5 linked regions of the Cricetulus griseus genome follow. The protein of the gene in region 1 purifies or fractionates together with the protein of each later gene. This does not show direct contact. Links are inferred from orthologs where the notes say so. Each region holds a gene or a part of one and is shown on either strand. Other genes may lie near its edges.

What was found.
Region 2: the proteins of Pak2 (region 1) and Git2 purify together in Homo sapiens (affinity purification with mass spectrometry; 3 studies listed by BioGRID and IntAct, with this or other methods). This does not show direct contact. The link is inferred for Cricetulus griseus from reciprocal best matches to the Homo sapiens genes PAK2 and GIT2.
Region 3: the proteins of Pak2 (region 1) and Nck2 purify together in Homo sapiens (affinity purification with mass spectrometry; 3 studies listed by BioGRID and IntAct, counting the BioPlex papers as one, with this or other methods). This does not show direct contact. The link is inferred for Cricetulus griseus from reciprocal best matches to the Homo sapiens genes PAK2 and NCK2.
Region 4: the proteins of Pak2 (region 1) and Git1 purify together in Homo sapiens (affinity purification with mass spectrometry; 5 studies listed by BioGRID and IntAct, with this or other methods). This does not show direct contact. The link is inferred for Cricetulus griseus from reciprocal best matches to the Homo sapiens genes PAK2 and GIT1.
Region 5: the proteins of Pak2 (region 1) and Arhgef6 purify together in Homo sapiens (affinity purification with mass spectrometry; 3 studies listed by BioGRID and IntAct, counting the BioPlex papers as one, with this or other methods). This does not show direct contact. The link is inferred for Cricetulus griseus from reciprocal best matches to the Homo sapiens genes PAK2 and ARHGEF6.

The regions. Positions count from the first base shown.
Region 1 is NC_048597.1:57,460,622-57,464,139, reverse strand, and holds part of Pak2 (serine/threonine-protein kinase PAK 2), read right to left. Parts: intron 2,905-3,518; coding exon 2,797-2,904; intron 532-2,796; coding exon 399-531; intron 1-398. UniProt on the Homo sapiens protein: Serine/threonine protein kinase that plays a role in a variety of different signaling pathways including cytoskeleton regulation, cell motility, cell cycle progression, apoptosis or proliferation.
Region 2 is NC_048597.1:94,338,606-94,342,123, reverse strand, and holds part of Git2 (ARF GTPase-activating protein GIT2), read left to right. Parts: intron 1-244; coding exon 245-308; intron 309-1,237; coding exon 1,238-1,450; 3' UTR 1,451-3,518. UniProt on the Homo sapiens protein: GTPase-activating protein for ADP ribosylation factor family members, including ARF1.
Region 3 is NW_023276807.1:4,964,574-4,968,091, forward strand, and holds part of Nck2 (cytoplasmic protein NCK2), read right to left. Parts: intron 1,298-3,518; coding exon 576-1,297; intron 1-575. UniProt on the Homo sapiens protein: Adapter protein which associates with tyrosine-phosphorylated growth factor receptors or their cellular substrates. Maintains low levels of EIF2S1 phosphorylation by promoting its dephosphorylation by PP1.
Region 4 is NC_048600.1:90,905,054-90,908,571, forward strand, and holds part of Git1 (ARF GTPase-activating protein GIT1), read left to right. Parts: intron 1-1,310; coding exon 1,311-1,359; intron 1,360-1,635; coding exon 1,636-1,708; intron 1,709-2,204; coding exon 2,205-2,302; intron 2,303-2,668; coding exon 2,669-2,780; intron 2,781-2,895; coding exon 2,896-3,029; intron 3,030-3,123; coding exon 3,124-3,276; intron 3,277-3,397; coding exon 3,398-3,518. UniProt on the Homo sapiens protein: GTPase-activating protein for ADP ribosylation factor family members, including ARF1.
Region 5 is NC_048604.1:15,174,732-15,178,249, reverse strand, and holds part of Arhgef6 (rho guanine nucleotide exchange factor 6), read right to left. Parts: intron 2,658-3,518; coding exon 2,598-2,657; intron 526-2,597; coding exon 379-525; intron 1-378. UniProt on the Homo sapiens protein: Acts as a RAC1 guanine nucleotide exchange factor (GEF).

The sequences.
Region 1 (3,518 bases):
ACTGAACCATCTTGCCAGCCCATAAGGAACTTATTTTTTTTTTTGGGGGGGGGGGTTCGAAACAGGGTTTCTCTGTGTAGCTTTGGAGCCTATCCTGGCACTCGCTCTGGGGACCAGGCTGCCCTTGAACTCACAGAGATCCTCCTGCCTCTGCCTCCCAAGTGATGGGATTAAAGGCGTGCGCCACCAACGCCCGGCCTATAAGGAACATTTTTATAGGTTTGTATTGAGAAGTTATATTCAAGCCCCTGTGATAGAGTTTCAAACAATGTCCTTTAGATGTGGCTGGCAGGGACCAAGGGTTTTTGCACACACTCAGCAAGTGTTTCTCACTGGGCAACAACTATCTCCAGCTCTGTTCCAAATGTTTTTAAGAAAATAAAGTATAGACTGCATACTTAATTTCTCCATAATCTCTTCATCTGTCATCTTGGCTTTCTTTTTCTGTTTGTCTGAAGACTTGGCACCACCGTCAACATTAGAATCACCAGCTGGAGCAGGAATAGGGTCGATGACAGACCGTGTGTAAATCTGAAAAGATATAGCTCATTGTTGAGACTTGAGAAAAAACCATTTTCAGATAGTCTTAGTAGCAGAAAATGTATTCTTTGATTTTTTTAAAAAACCAAACTAAGTTATCTTTCCCACTGTTTTGAAGAATGGGACAGTATACTCACACAAGAAACACAGGCATAGTGGTGCCTGTTTGTAAGTCTAGCACTCAGGAGGCAAGTAAGAGGACACCCCAGGCTACAATAAGACCCTGTTACAAATACTCCACCTCCCCAAAACATGTAACCAGGAAAATAATGTATAATGTATTTTTTTTGACACAGCATGTATGTATTTTGAAAATATCTAGCAAAATAGGTCTATGAAACTCCTTCCAGTGTGACTACATCTAAAGTACTGAGAACAATGTAATGAAAAGAAGCACATGCTACTTCTCCAAAGGTCCCACATGGCTGCTCATAACCATCTGAAACTCAGGTCCAAGGATCTGATGTCCTTTTCTGACCTCCATAGGCAACAAGTACAATGTGCTGCACAAATATACACCTAGGCAAAACATCCACACACATAAAGTAAAAATAAATTAAAAAAAAAAAAAAGCATACCTGCAGCCAGGCACAGGGCACACACTTATACTTGGGTGCCTGAGAAGCAGATGCAGGAGGATCAGGAATTCCAGGCCAGCCTCAGCTACATAGCGAGACTGAAGCCAGCCTAGACCACACGAGACCCTGGCTCACAACAAAAACAAAATGAACCCACAACAAAAACAAAATGAACCCAACACAGCTTAGAAACAGAAAAGAGTAATAATGCTGATGTTGAGATAACTATAACCACCTCCCTCTGTAAGATTTACATAAATTCAACAGTGATCATATTCTTTCAAACAGCCAGTCCTAAGTCATAAAGAAAACACAGTCTTCCACCACTGCATCAGTTTCAGTTCTGTTGCTGAGTGGAGCAAGAACCCTGGGGCAGCCTTCCATTCCATCACAGCGGGAAGGGCAGTACTGGAGCCCGTTCTTACTGCCTGGCTCTACTTAAGGCCCTTACTCTTAAAATTCTCTTAATGGTAAGTAATTTCATTCTTAAACACCTCTTGAATAAACATAGCCTTTGAAAGCAAGGTAAAATACATAATTCAGAAAACAGCAATGATCTAGTTTTAGATATAATAGTTATCTATATTGAGAAAGCTAAAAAAATAGATCCTCTTTAGAGTAAGAGAGAAACAAGGAAGAAAAACCCAGTAAATTAAGTTTCTTAACTTTTAAAGAAGCTGTAATTTTCTTTTTTGTCTGCTTTTACAGATAGGGTCTAGGTCTTCGTACGTAGCTCTAGTTGGTCTGGGACTCACTAAATTGTGGCCTCTTAACTCAAAAGAGAGATACACCTACTATGCTCGATTAAAGATGGACACCACCATGCTTACTCAAGACCTTACTTTTCAGGCCAGGCAGTAGTGTTGCACACCTTTAATCCAAGTACTCAGGAGGCAGAGGCAGGCGACCTCTGAGTTCAAGACCAGCCTGGTCTACAGAGCAAGTGCCAGGACAGCCTCCAAAAGTCACAGAGAAACCCTGTCTCGAAAAACAAAAACAAACAAACAAACAAAAAAAGAAACATTTAGGGGTTGAGAGATGGCTCAGAGGTTAAGAGCACTGACTGCTCTTCCAAAGGTCCTGAGTTCAATTCCCAGCAACCATGTAGTGGCTCACAACTATCTATAATGAGATCTGGTGCCCTCTTTTGGTCTGCAGGCAACGTGTAGGCAGAACACACTGTTTACACAATAAATAAATAAATCTTTTTTTTTTTTTTTTTTTTTTGAGACAGGGTTTCTCTGTGGCTTTGGAGTCTGTCCTGGAACTAGCCCTTGTAGACCAGGCTGGTCTTGAACTCACAGAGATCCACCTGCCTCTGCCTCCCTAGTGCTGGGATTAAAGGCGTGCGCCAACCCCCGGCTAAATAAATAAATCTTAAAAAAAAAAAAAAAGACTTTACTTTTCTAAGTCATTATTATTCATTTTAATTTACTTATTGTGTGCATGTGTGTGCACACCCACCATACTGTGCATGAGATAGTCAGAGGATAAGTTGGAGGAGTTAGGTCTCTTCCTCTACCATGTGGGTCTGGGGGATTGAATGCAAGCTGTCAGGCTTGGTGGAAAGCACCTGCTCAGCCATTTCATCAGCACCAAAAAGTAGGCTTTGATAAACAACCAAGTTTCTGCATACTGCAGTATTTTAAGTTCGAGGGCCTTTAAACATTTCACTCACTGATTTTGTATGGTCTGGCCGAGGGGCAATGACAGGAGGAGCAGCATCTTCATCATCATCGTCTTCCTCTGTCACTACTGCTGACGTTTCTGATCCCTTAGTATTCAGCTGCACTCATCATGGGAGCAAAAAAGGAGGACAAGCCAGAAAAATTAAAAGGTTAAAATGTAAATTTATTTCTTCAACAGCTCATTTAAAAACAACTGAACTCCACTGGTTCTGATATAACCAATTAAAAAGTAAATGAATATGTACGGCAAGTATCATTTTTAGTGGGGAGGAGGTTCTGCTAAGGACTGAACCCAGGCCTGTGTATGGTGTAATAGCTTTACTACTGAGCTACATCCATAGCTCCTAGGTAAGCAATCCATTTCACTGGACCAAAGCAAAGGCCCTCTGGACGATGTAAAAAAACCTCATTTTGAGGCATTTAAAAGATCTAGGTACAACAGTTAATAAAGCAAGAAAAGGAGCTGACATGTGTGAACTATTTAGAATGTGCCTCAGTTTACCATACCCAGAAAGGTACTGGAAGGAGGTTTGGGGAAAAGAGAATATGCAAACCAGTTCACCATATTCACGTTCAATATGGCAACACTGGAGAAGTAGCTAAATTGCTCTGGAAGTTATTATTAAGTTTATTGCTTTAAAGTGCCCATAAAATTCTATTTACTTAACGTGACTTTTTCAATTAATCAAGTAGGTAACTTAAGAAAAAAACA
Region 2 (3,518 bases), about 37 Mb from region 1:
GCACACAGAGCAGATTTCAGGACTGGGGACTGTTACCAGGATGAGTGTGTTCCTGAAAGGAGGGGGACCTGCTTCATAGCTGTGCCTGCTGTCGGTGTGCTCATGCCTGCTTTTGGTGTGCACACAGCTAGCCCCAACCTAAGCCCTTCATTAACCAGGTGGAAATGGAACCCATCTGGCCTCTGAGCATTCTTTACCTCTAAATCATCTGAGCTGCTTTAATGGATTCTTCTATGTCTTACAGTTATATTCCCTGCTCAGAGAGAATACATGTTGCTGTTACCGAGATGGCAGCCTTATTCCCCAAAGTAAGTCACTTCCTACTCATCCTCTGTTAAGTTTCTCAGCATTGTTTCCTGACCTTATATTGTCTTTGGTGAGGAGCAGGGTGCTGGGATAAAACCCAGGGCCCTGTGCATACTAGGCAAACACTCTCCTGTACAGCTGTGCAGCAGCTCATAACCTTTTTCTTAAGTTTTTTGTAGCATACAGTTATTAAATACATCATCTTATAGGGCTTTGAGGTGTTTTCACTATGCATGGATATCGGTTTTAGTAAGACCTGGATGTGTAAGTCAGGTGCTACAAGGCAAAGCAGTAGAATAAAGTTTAGGATACAAAATATATATATATGATTTATTTGTTATGTATACAGTGGTCTCTCTGCATGTATCCCTGAAGGCCAGAAGAGGGCACCAGATCTCATTACAGATGGTTGTGAACCACCATGTGGTTGCTGGGAATTGAACTCGGAACCTCTGGAAGAGCAGCCAGTGTCCTTAACCTCTGAGCCATCTCTCCAGCCCCAAGATTATATTTTTAATACCTCAAAATAGCACATAATATTAAAGTTCTTCTCAAATGTAAGCATTTCCTCACTCTTAGGCCATGGTTCATAAAGCTGGTATTGTTTTAAATACCCTATTGAGCCGGGCGATGGTGGCACACACCTTTAATTCCAACACTTGGGAGGCAGAGGCAGAAGGATCTCTGTGAGTTTAAGCCCAGCCTGGTCTACAGAGCAAGTTCCAGGCGAGGCTCCAAAGCAATACAGAGAAATCCTGTCTCGGAAAAAAAAAAACAACAACAACAACAAAAAACAAAACAAAACAAAAAAATACCCAATTGAGAAAGGTTGGACTTTACTCAACTGCAGTTGCTGTCGGGGCAGGCTTATGCCTTGCTGCTGGATGTCCATCCTGCAGCCCACAGCAAACAGCTGTACTCTTCATTTTAGAAACCCAAGTCTGACACGGTGAGGACTTCCCTCCGGTTACTGACGTCCAGTGCCTACCGGCTCCAGTCAGAGTGCAGAAAGGCCCTCCCAGGAGACTCAAGCTTGCCCACGGATGTGCAGTTGGTCACACAGCAGGTCATCCAGTGTGCCTATGACATCGCCAAGGCTGCCAAACAGCTGGTCACAATCACCACCAAAGAGAACAACAACTGAACTGTGGGGCGCTATCCTTCTATTTTATAGGCTTCTGAAAGTCCGGCTTCAGTTTAGACATGAACTCTTCAGATTTTTACAAAAACATTTAATAATGATTTGAAACTTTTTAAAAGAAAACTCAGTATTATTTTTGCATGTTTTCTAACAGATTTTTGACTGTGATTTAACCATTGCCTTATTTGTGCCTGTTTGCAACTTAGCTTCTGTTCTGTTGCGTTGTCACCAAGCGCTTAGGTCATGATCGGATGTGTTTAAAAGGAATTGTTTGGAGTTTGCTAAAACTTTTCCATCCTTTAAAACTCTCTGCCCATGGCTAAAACTATAATTGATATTTTTAGTAAAACATTTTCTTAAGAGAGTTGGGTTTTAAAAAAAAATCAATGTTATCTGTTCCTTCCAAGCATTGTGCAATAAGTAGGTTTTCCATCCTGCCGTAGAGTCTCAGAGCTTGGGGTATCTCTAGGCATGTGTGGAGAGCAAGGGTCCTTGCCTCTTCCTAAAGAGAGCGAATCTCTTGGGAAGGACAGGGGAATGACCCATTTCTAACTTTTGTATCATGTTAAGTGTCGTGTTATTTAATATTTTTATCTTGATTTTCTATCTATAAAGATTTTACCATAATACTGAAGTCTCCATAATGTCCAAATAGTAGTTATGAATCCACCATCCATATCAGGTTCCAGTTGGCCACATTCACAGCAGGAGTACCACCCATTGTCAGGGACCTGCCTTCCCCTGAAGCCAGGCAGTTCACTCAGAACTGGTACTGACATTCCTTCCGTGGGTGGACACTTGGTGCCCTTCACCCTTTGACCTCTTACAGCTTCACATGTCTCCTCCTTTGGAAGGATTTCTTCCCAGGTAAGCCATCATGGTCAGTTTCTTCCCTTCACCTCACTGGTACTGAGAGATTAGACACCCTGTGGCACTGTAGAATAGTTGTCAGCATGCTTTAGCTCCTCTCTCCCGTAGCTCTGCAAGGGCAGAGGTTGACGTCTAGGACACAGCAGCCCTGGTGTTTACATTACTTAAGGCTCTTTCTTGTGAATGTTACAGCCTATCCCTATCCCAGCTTGCCACATCTGTTTTATATGGGTGGAGCTTACCTGAGAGAGCTGGCAGTATATGGCTAGGAAGCCAGCCAGGTGTACAGCCGGGCACAGAGGGAGGGCAGGTGGGGAGCCCTGCCCAACCTGCAAGGACAGCAGCTCTTTTCCCTCTGACGCCTCTCATGTTGCTGTGGAGAAATAGACCTGAGTTGCTAAAGCTTTGATTTTCAAGATAGCAGAAATTTGGGTTATTTTATGCATGTCAATTTAGACATGCCTACTGAACAAGCAGAAATGAGCTGTGGCCTCTAGGCTGTCTCTCACAGCCTCTGCTGGGCCTTTAAACCATAGCCTCAGGGCTGGCTTTAATGGCCACCAGAAGTAGCCTCTGAGCCAACCTTGGAAGGCAGCACTGACCTGCTATAAGGTCACTGTCAGTCCCCATCCCCCAGTGTGTTCTTGGGAGCAGACCGACACAGTCAGGTTCACCAGGTCAGGTTGCCTACATTGTGTGCATGGGAAGGGCCAGCACTTACCTGTCTATTCAACCCAAAACGTCACTGCTGGACGCCTAGGAGTGCCTTTCAGAAAGGGGTCTGCTAGCTTGAGCTCAGGCATCGTCTTTGACAAGCTTTTCTGCCTGCTGCTTCAAGAACTGTACCACCCTTCCTGGCAGGCTCTGTGGAGCCGATTCCAATCCAGAGCGGGTTCCCATGACCCTCCCCCTCCACCCCCCCCCCTCCCCAGACAACAGGCCTCTGTTGGAGGCTTCTCACAAGAGAAATGTTAGAGGCAAGGACCTGCCACAGAGGATACTGTCTGCGGAAAACTAAGGAATATGGGCCAGTACTGCGTTTCCAGGTGCTCTCAAGAACACCAGAGTTCACAGTCAATCCTGAGTCCTCCTCAGGCTGAGGCACCCCTCACAGAGCCCCTCCCCTCATGAGACCTGGAGTCAGAACATTTGCTCCCATAGGCAAATGCATCTTGTCTCAACTCTTGTCCTGGCCATTTTT
Region 3 (3,518 bases), on another chromosome or scaffold:
CATCTTTAAATTGGAAAGGGGAAGCCCTACTATAGGGCCAAAACCACCCGTGAGAGCTCAAAGGCACTGTCCACATCTTACCACACCCAGGAGAAGGAATGGCAGCAGGGACCTCAGTCTACCCAACCCAGATTTAAGTTAAGTTGGGAGCAGTGGACCCTGTGCCAACACAGTATTTACCTAGCTTAGTATGTGCCCTCAAATACTATTGTGCCATTTCACATATATAGTCAGTGAATATAACAAGAGAATGGCACACCGGTCATGTCACCCACATAGGTGGCTGTTTTTGAGGAGGTTCCAAGAACTTGTGGATACCTGAAACCGTGGTAGATGAGAACCCTAAAAAAATAAGTTTTTTGTCCATGTCCACGATTAAGTCTAACTTGTAAGTAAGACTGGTAAGCTTTTTAACAATGTTGAATCAGGCAAATGAACTATAATGAAAACTGTGAGATCATTGAACATCCTCGGACCACGGCTTGCACGAGTCCCTGAACCTGCAGGTGAGGGAACTGTACTCTTAGCTTTCTCCTGGCAGTGTGGCCCCAGCAGAGGGGCAGCTGGGCACTTACCGAGGACTCGCTGTCCCTAATGAGAAAGTCGCCCTCGACGCCCCGCTCATTGAGCGCGCACTCGGCCTGGTGCCGTGTCACGTTGCCATAGTACCACTCACGACCAGCGAATCGCCCGCTGGCTGAGGGCCCGGTGTAGCTGATCTGTGGGGTGTGCGCGGGGTGCATTGCAGGCCCATCACTGAGGACCACCACATAGTTCTTGGGGACCAGGCCCACCTGGCCCCGGGCATTTTTGCATTTCCACCACTCAGGGTCGTTCTCAGGCTTCTCAATCACCTCCATGGTCTCCCCCTTCTCAAAGCTAAGCTCCTCCTCAGTGACGGAGCTGAAGGGGTACAGCGTCTGCACCACGTGCAGAACCCGTGCTCCTTGCCCATTGCTCAGAGCGGCACCGCGACGAAGGCTCAGGAAGCTGGGGGCCTCAGCGGCAGCTTCATCTGCCTCCTCCAGCACGTAGTTGGAGGGGAACCAGCCGATCTGCCCATTGAAGCTGCCGCGCCACCAGCCATCGCTGCATTTTTCCATGACTGTGACACGGGAGCCCTTCACCAGGGAAAGCTCATCCTCTCGTTCAGCTACGTAGGCGAACTTGACGAAGGCGGGGATGTTGAGGTCATAGATGCGGTCAGCACCGCTGCCATTGGCCGGGTACTCCGCATCAGTGCTGGGCGTTGGGGATGCATCCCGAGCGCTCGGCTTCCTGCGCGTCTTTCCGAGGCCTGTGAAGACATGGCAGAGGGCTCAGTTGGCACTGGGCACATGCCTACTCCCTACGCTATTAGGCATGGAAGTTCTCCCGCCCAGGGTGGGTGCATAAAGACTGGTTACAAACGACAGTTACCAGCTGGAAAAGAAAATGATAACAGCTGTGCCGCAGAGATACGAAGTTACTAAAAACTGATACTTACCCATAAACAAATGCCAATAAGTCTATGATACAAAGTTAACAAGAACAGAAAAGTTCTTCTGGAAGGATGGCCAGTTTTGGAGAACCCTTGGGGCTCAGGACTGAAAATATAAAAAAAGGCAGAGAAGGTGCCTGCAATTTTGCATGGGTAAGAAGTTGGACTAAATGACTGTAAAGACCGTGGCAATGCTACAGGGGGTCAGGTGACCACCAGAAGGGCTGTACCCTGCCCTGCATCCACTTACCTCCCTCCTGAAGTTTGTAACCCTGCTCCAGGGCTCCTCCTCATTGTTCCCCTGATGAACTGCCCTCCTAGTACCTGCCTGCCTGCATGCTGGCCCTTCTCATTTCCTTCCCCACTTCCAACGCATCTTTGCTCACAGAACACTGAACTGGTTTTTCTACAACAGACTGACAGAGCGAATTAGTAAAAGATTCGCTGACATACTATGTCCAAGGCAGGACTTTGAAGTTCGTGGTGGGTAACCTGCAAGTGGACCCCTCAGGTCAACTGAATGGGCTTCAAAAAGCCGACGGATGGAGGAACGTCTTCAGAGAGCATCATGGTTAGCCTGTACACACTTTCTTCAGCCACACGTGAGCAAACACTGGCCTGTGATGTAAAACATACTCCTTTCCATACACCGAGGGGGGGTGGGGGGGCGGGGGAGGGGAGGTGATTTTGGGAAGCCCTAACCTAAGCATGCTTTTGATCCAGTTAAAATGTAGAACCCAAAAAAATTCTAGGGGAGGACAGCATGTTGGCTAAGAGCAGGGGATGCACCGCAGGGGGGGGCAAAATTTCTCAGTTTTTCAGGGAACACTCTCCCTTCAGCTCTGCTTGGAGCATTTTGTGGAGCCCGTGGCAGACTCCCCTCTTCCCCAGTGACCTCCAGGGGTAGTTAAGCCCTCTCATCTTTAACCTGCAGAATAAGCAGGCTTTGCCCAGCATGCAGGTCCAAACGCAAGGGCTGTGCTACATCATCCCCCATCATTCAGCGGGGCCACCAGGCCCAGCTCAAAGCCAGGAGAATTTGAGGCAATGCAAACTGGTCAAAGTGGATACACTGGCCCAGAAAGGTGACAGCATGGATCACATCATCTGATTCAAGTACATGGGGACATAAGGGCAAGTCAGAACACTTAGGTCAAAATTTAGATCTCTGTTCTACTTAAGAGTCATCTTGGCTTGCAATCCCAGATTCAGTGCAATCCTCAGTCTTCTCTGTGTGTGTCATAGCTCTTGTGCAAACAAGTCACACTGGGTTAGGGCCTTTTTTCCTTTCTTTCTTTCTTTCTTTCTTTCTTTCTTTCTTCCTTTCTTTTTTTTCCTTCCTTCCTTCCTTTTCTTTCTTTCTTTCTTTTTGTTTTGTTTTTGGAGGCAGGGTCTCTCTGCGGCTTTGGAAGCTGTCCTGGAACTCTCTTTGAAGACCAGGCTGGCCTCGAACTCACAGAGATCCGCCTACTTCTGCCTCCCGAGTGCACCACCTGGCAGACCTAACTATTCTTAATACTCTTGTTTTAATTGCTATTTTAAAGGCTCCATCTCCAGATAATCCCACTTTTGAGGTGGGGTGTGTGTGTGTGTCAAGATTTCAACATACGGATTTGGGAGGGTTTATTCTGCCTAGGGCATCTAAGTTCAGACAAAGCATATGAAACACAGAAGTTTTACAGAATCAAGGTGTTCTTAACTGATTAAGGGTTTTGGATCTCTCTGATCAGAACAGTAGTTTGTCACAAGAGGTCAAATTCCTCTTCAAAGATTCTTGGCCACAATCCCAGTGATGCCAGAAGGCCAGAGGTGTAGAAAGCCTTATGGGACTTGGGCCTCCAACACCAGGTACTCTCATGGCAGCTGCTGGGACAGAGCAATCCAAGAGGCAGCTGTATAAACTGTGTGGTGGTGGGTGTTTTAATATCCTGGCCATGGATGTTATTCCAACCCTCACAATTCTCCCCAAGCAAGTGGGGAATCCAAAACTGGGAGAGATGGGGGAACTGGACAGACATTCCTAGACAGTGATGTGGCA
Region 4 (3,518 bases), on another chromosome or scaffold:
GCAGGGTAGTAATGGGGAATTTCTGCCTCTGATCTCAGAGGCCCCAAGATAACCCAGGCAGTGGAGGCTATCCCCAGCCACTTACTCAGTTTACAAGACAGATGGTGGCGCCACCTAGTGGTCCTCAGAGGGCTACACCTTCATGCCAGGCAGTGCTCCCTGGCATTAGGAGAGGTTTTCCACCACAGCCTGTGCAGACAGGTGGGCTGGTCAGAACTGCCCTGTTCTAAGACCCCAAGACTCAACTCTACTTCTCTAGTCTGATCTGAGGCGGGGGGGGGGGGGGGGGGGAGAAGAAGAAAGAGAGGTGTGTGCGTGCATGTGTGTTGGAGCACACGCTTGTATCTATAAGCACCACATGCACACATGAATGTAGATTCAGGGTTATTCATTTAGCACCTTCTCAGAACCAGCAGCTGCTCTTGGGACATGGAGGTAATGCCCTTGAGCTACAATGTAGCAGTCTGAGGGGACAGCAGCAAAGAGTGCAAAGGCTTGTGTCCCACAGCATAGTGTGAGGGAGTAAGACTGGAAAGAGCCAGGTGGGACTGAACCTTGTGGGGAACTTCAGCAAGAGTGTAACCATCGTGAGGGAGTTCTGAACAGGATCTCTGCTACTACCAGGCTGTGTGACTTGAAGCAGGTTACCTAACCTCTCTGAGCCTTGGTTATCACATCTCAAAATGGGTGTGCTAATACTTACCCTTTGGGGAATGTTAGCATATTTTTTTTAAAGAAAGAATTGTGAAGAAGTATGGTCGGGGTATGTTCTTTGTATGTTACTATTGGGCTGCTTTAAGGCAGAGTACTAGCCAGGTGTGTTAGCACTCTGCCACCAGATGAGAAAGGATCTAGAGGCAAGCCTAGAAGTAAAGAGATAGACTGAGAGATTCCTAAAAGCCCAGACCAGAGAAACAAGGGCAGAATTGGTAAGCATGGCTAGGATCTGAGGTAGAGGGAGACCTGGGGTGGCTCCATATAGCTGACTGGACAGAGGAGCCAGCTGAGGAGACAAGTTCCCCTGCATGCTCTGTGTGGGGTGTGTGGAGATGTGTCTGAGCGCGTCCGCTCCTGGGTAATTGCTGCTCTGTCCTGTTCTTCCCTCTGCTGCCATCCTGGATTAGATCTCGGCAAAAGTGCATGTCTCAGAGGTACTTGCACCTGCCTGCTGCAGGCTGTAAAGCTTGGGCAAGGGGAGGCTTGGTGTGTGGCCTCAGGGTCTCATCTCCCTGAGCTCCCTGCATGCTTGGGAGGCAACCAGCAGGGACCTGGCAGTCTCTCATGTCTGGCCTCTCCTTCTTTGTCCACAGCCTGGATCTGTCTGAATTGGCCAAAGCTGCCAAGAAGAAGCTGCAAGCAGTGAGTCTGCCTCAACAAGCTAAGACTCCTTAAAGCTGCTCTCCCTAGCCCCGTCAGCCTCCTCCCTCCCTCCCTTTGATCCTGGTTCTGCCCACCAAGTGTGTCCATCTCCTGGAGGGAAAAATGGCCTGGACTCCCTTCTTCCTTGCAGAAAACCTCACCCTCCCCTCAGTTCTAAGACAGGCTGGGTGACACGGGTCATGAGCCTTCCTCCCGTCACACAACATCCTGACAGACTCTGGGTCCCCCTCCCCCCCACTCCCTCTCTGCCTCTAGCTCAGCAACCGGCTTTTTGAGGAACTTGCCATGGATGTATATGACGAGGTGGACCGGCGAGAGAATGACGCTGGTGAGTGGCAAGGAGTCTGTCCCTCAGTGAACTGAGAAGGGGAGCTGGACTGGGGCTGCTCTGAGGCCTGCTGGGTGAGCCCCTGCCATCCTCTGCTGAGCAGCGCTGAGCTGTAGGCAGCTAGCTGCCTCCCTGCCCCACCAGGCACTGGAGCTCATCTTGCTCTGGCTGCCTCCCACTTTGGCTGTCTCCCCAGCCCTGCTCCACCCCACCCCCCACCCCACCCTGCATCACTCCTTCCTGGCCACAACCAGACTCCAGCCCAAACTCTGGGTCTGGTCTAGTGGGCCCTGCCTTGTTCTGTTCGTCAGTGGGCGGGCCTCACTGGGCCTTGCCCAGCTTTTATATTCGTGGAGACCCCTGCTTCCTGAAACACTGGCCCAGTGGGAATAGGGTGGGCCTTTGGGGCCGGGGGCTCTCTGCTCTGTGCTTCTCCTACCTCTGCATGGAAGGCCTAGTCACAGTGGGTGATCTGCTCCCTGCCCCTCCCCCACAGTGTGGCTGGCCACCCAAAACCACAGCACCCTGGTGACGGAGCGCAGCGCTGTGCCCTTCCTGCCAGTCAACCCAGAATACTCAGCTACTCGGAACCAGGTGAGGGGGTATAGGCAGGAGGCCTGGGTGGTTTCCTTTCTTTCTGGGATCCCTGCCCTTCCTTAATCTGAGGCCTCCCCTTAGGGTCTGACAGGCTTTGGGGTTCGGGGAATGGGATGAAGCTATTCTTTAGCACTGGTGGGCATTCCAGTCTCCTCCTGGGGGCTCCCTGTGTGCCTTAGGCCTTTGCTGACCTGAGGCTCCACACTGCTCACCAGCCAGATGATGGCTGGGTTTGGGGTTTTGGTTTTTTTAAAAGCTATGAATAGAAAGGATGTCAGGGTCCCACTTTGCTGCTGTGGTCCAGCCCCCATGGGCCAACCAGAAATGGCCCCTCATGCTGGCCTTGCCCCTTCTGCCTTACAGGGACGACAGAAGTTGGCTCGGTTTAATGCCCGCGAGTTCGCCACCTTGATCATCGACATTCTCAGTGAGGCCAAACGGAGGCAGCAGGGCAAGAGCCTGAGCAGCCCCACAGGTGAGCCCCACATGAGCAGGCCGCAGCACTGCTGCAGGCCTTGGAGCCACCTTTGCTTGGGATCTGGATAAACAATGGCTGAGCAAGCCCTGAGTGACAGATCTTGTGTCTTCAGACAACCTCGAGCTGTCTGCACAGAGCCAAAGTGACCTGGACGACCAACACGACTACGATAGTGTGGCTTCTGACGAAGACACAGACCAGGAGCCCTTGCCCAGCACAGGCGCCACTCGGAACAACCGTGCTAGGGTCTGAACACTGTCCCTGCTGTAGACCCAGCTCCCTGTTACACATAGCCCAGAGTCAGCCTCTGCCCGAGACTGACTGGCTTCTGTCTCTGCAGAGCATGGACTCCTCAGACCTGTCGGATGGGGCTGTGACACTGCAGGAGTACCTGGAGCTGAAGAAAGCTCTGGCCACCTCCGAGGCCAGAGTGGAGCAGCTCATGCAGGTCAACAGCAGCCTGAGTGATGAGCTCCGGAGGCTGCAGAGGGAGGTGAGCACTGTTGCTTGCGGGAGCAGGAGGAAAGCATCAGAGGCTCTGGGAGGAGAGGTCATCTCTTCCCAAAGGTGGTACCTACCCTGACCCAGAGTTGGATACCACTGTGTACACTCAGATCCACAAACTGCAGGCAGAGAACCTGCAGCTTCGGCAGCCGTCAGGGCCAACACCTACACCCCCACTTCCCAATGAACGGGCAGAACACGTACCCATGGGGCCCGCTGGAAGCACCCATC
Region 5 (3,518 bases), on another chromosome or scaffold:
TCTTCCTAAAAGAAATAATCCATCTTGAACCTCTGTGCTTCTCTCTGGATATGTACTTCCTAGAAAAGTACATTTGTCAGAGACATCTACATCTCTGTCTTTAATGCCGACCTCTCACCTACATTTCCATAGTACATTAACAGCTGCTTACAGAACATCTACATGCAGACACCCAGGGTCTTTTGAAAGTTAGTGGGTGTAGATTATATCAGCCATCTTCTGTATCCCATAAGCCACCCCTTTCTGTTGATATTACCGTTTAAATGTGTCTCAAAGTTACCCTTTATTTTCTATTCCCTCTGCCCCTACCCCAGTTGACCTTGACAGAAGTACAAATAAAGGAAGGGAAAGACGAAAGAAGAAATGCTGAGGACTTACATCACAGGTTCCATACTGCACCATTACTTGTGACATAAAGATCACATTTCCCAGGGTCTTAATATCATCTCCTTCCCATGCCTGAATAGGTTCTGAAAGGATCTGCAATTCCAGTTGTTTTCTCTTTCGCAGTTCTTGGCACTGCCCCTACAGATGTGAAACAGAACATGGTACAATAAGGATTCAGGTGAGACCGGTGGGGAAAGTTCTCAGACCCAAAACGAGTTCCAAATAAGTTACGGCTTTAGACTCCTTGCTGCTCACTGGATCTCTTTATCCCTTACCCTGAATTCTATGGCCATCCATGCTCCTGCCAGACAAACACATCCACTACCTAGCTTTGATCCTCCCAACATTATAAGAAGAGGAGATAGCTTCCATTTTGCCAAGGAATGAAGATGACGTGCTAAGAAGGGGCTTATTGCTCCCTCCCCATGAAGAGTCTGTACAGACAAGGAACAGAATCCCATCAAGTAGAGCCAGGACAGTGATCAGCCCTTCACTGCCATGGGTAAATAGGACTGTAATTAAAACTAATTTCATATGTAAGATGTATGCTCACTCTCCAACAAAACTGCAACTTGATGGTAAGAAAAACAAACAAAAATTACTGTTAGAGTTTTGAAAACAGAGAATGGCACTGTCCTGACTTTGTTTAGGGAGCAACAGTACCTTTTAAAATACTAAGATTATTTTTATTCCCAAAGGGATTGGGGAAACACGGATACAAGTGGATTCCATGATGATCCCATTGGAAATTCAAATCAAGAAACAGTCTTCGAGTACTATGTGGGGTATGAAATACATAGATATAAAACCTGTCTCAGAAGAGTAAAGTTATCTTAGAGTAATTTAACAGTACTCATTCCAAAATGAATACATGTCTAAGCAAATGGTCCATTGCATTACTTTGTCCACATGAAGGTATAATACTTTTTGTGAATAATTTCTTTTCTATAAAAATCTGTTGCATCATCTAACCAAGACTTTAAGAAATAAATACATTATGCAGATTTTAAAGCATATGTATTTATAGTAAATATATTACCACCATCAAAGCAAGTTTTACAACATGACAAAAAAAAAGACACATTTGCTTTCCATTGTTGGAGGGGTGTATTTTAGTCTTGGTTTGTTCAGACAGGCTCTTACATGGCCCAGGCAGGCCTCAAATTCACTATGTAACTAAGGCTCTGATTTTGAACTGACTCTCTGTCTCCCAAGTGGTGGTGTCCAAACATGCCCTACCATGCCTGACAAACTCTTGAATTTGTTGTGCTGTTTGCTTGTGCTGCTTTTCCAAAGGCCTTCTATGCTAATTTACATAAGAATGAATAAAAGAGGTACAAGTTCCAATAAATGCTATCCCATCCATGGGTTTGAGTGAGCTGTTCTACGAAGTTGAGCCATGTAAAATTGCAGGTATTTTTACTACTTTTGCCTGACAACAGGTGCAAATTTATCACAATGCCTTGCCCGATCTTTAGTTTCCCTTTAAGCACTGACACATCAGTTACTTATCTTTCAAAAGCAAAAAAAGTGGAGTGATGCTGAATGCTATGGAGTAACCTTCTAGCAAGGATCAAAAGCTAAACATTGGTTCAAATCCCACAGAATGCTTTAGAAATGTCAAACATATCTAAATTTAACTCATTGCTCAAAATAAAGGGTATTTTTTCCTTCTGAAATGGCATCAAAAGGTTTTACATCAGCAGGTTCAAGGAGACAGGCTAACGTTGATACTCAAGATGCAAGATTATAGCTACCTCTGGTAGCAATCTATATTAAGCAGTTTCATTTTAGTACATTATGTTTTTCCTGTTAGGAAGGATTCCCATTTCATATGCAAAGAACAAATTCATATCTTTTGGCATAAATAGTGAAATCCAGTATTGATGCCAATCAGTGAATGACATAGGGTGAGCAATGGGGGTAAAGAAAAAGAAAAAAAAAGGAAACCCCCACCTACACACCAATGCTTAATGTGGCCAAGACTTTCAAATGTGATTGCTTTATACCCGCAGTCTGGTGACCTTTCATAGGCAAGCATGATTTGTGGAGAACAAAAGCAAATGTAAGAATCACAGAGCTACTGTCCTGAGAGTGCATTATTTCCATCCTGAAGACCTTTGCTTAAGGAAAGAAATGTTACACACAAATCATTCTTTCAGGAACAAAGTATACAAAATGGAGAATGACAATCTGAAAGTGTCACCTACCATGAGTGCTTTGAATGATACGATTGCTTTCAGAATGTCTTGATGATCCGGATGAGTGTCCTATCAAAGGAATACATTTAAAAACAATATCAGCATATGCATATATGTATGGAACAACATTAATGAAAAAAGAGGCCATGAGTGAAAGAGAGCTAGAAGGGGTATATGGGAAAGTTTGGAGGGAGGAAGGAAGGAGGAAATGATGTAATTATATTATAATCTCAAAAATAAAAGAAATAATTGAAAATAAAGAACAAAAACAGTATTAGAGGAAAATGGATGCTGCCACGGATGAGTGGAATGAACATATGGCCCCAAAGGGATAATAAGGCAGAAGTAAGTGTGTGTGTGTGTGTGTGTGTGTGTGTGTGTGTGTGTGTGTGTGTGTAAACAGACCAGAAGAGATGGTATGTCCTTCTCTGCATCTGGATTCCAGTTCAGTTCAGTGATTAGTTGTGGGTGTCGGCTTCTACTTCCACCAGCTGCTTGATGAGGGCTATCAGGTGGCATATAAGTCAGTCATCAATCTCATTATCTGGGGAGGGCATTTAAGGTAGCTTCTCCTCTGTTGCTTAGATTTTTAGCTGGTGTCATCTTTGTAGATCTCCAGACATTTCCCTAGTGCCTGATTTCTCTGTAAACCTAAAATGTCCCCCTCTATTATGGTATCTCCATTCTTGTTATCATCTATTCTTCCCCTGACTTAACCTTTCTGCTCCCTCATGTCCTCTGCATCCCTCCTCTTCTCCCCTTCTGATTCTCCTAGCTCCCTCTCCCCCTTCCCGTGCTCCCAATTTGCTTAGGAGATCTTGACCCTTTCCCCTTCTTCAGGGGACCATGCATGTCTCTCTTAGGGTCCTCCTTGTTTAACATTATATTTAATAACAACATAATAGGTATCAATATTGAAGTAAGATTTCC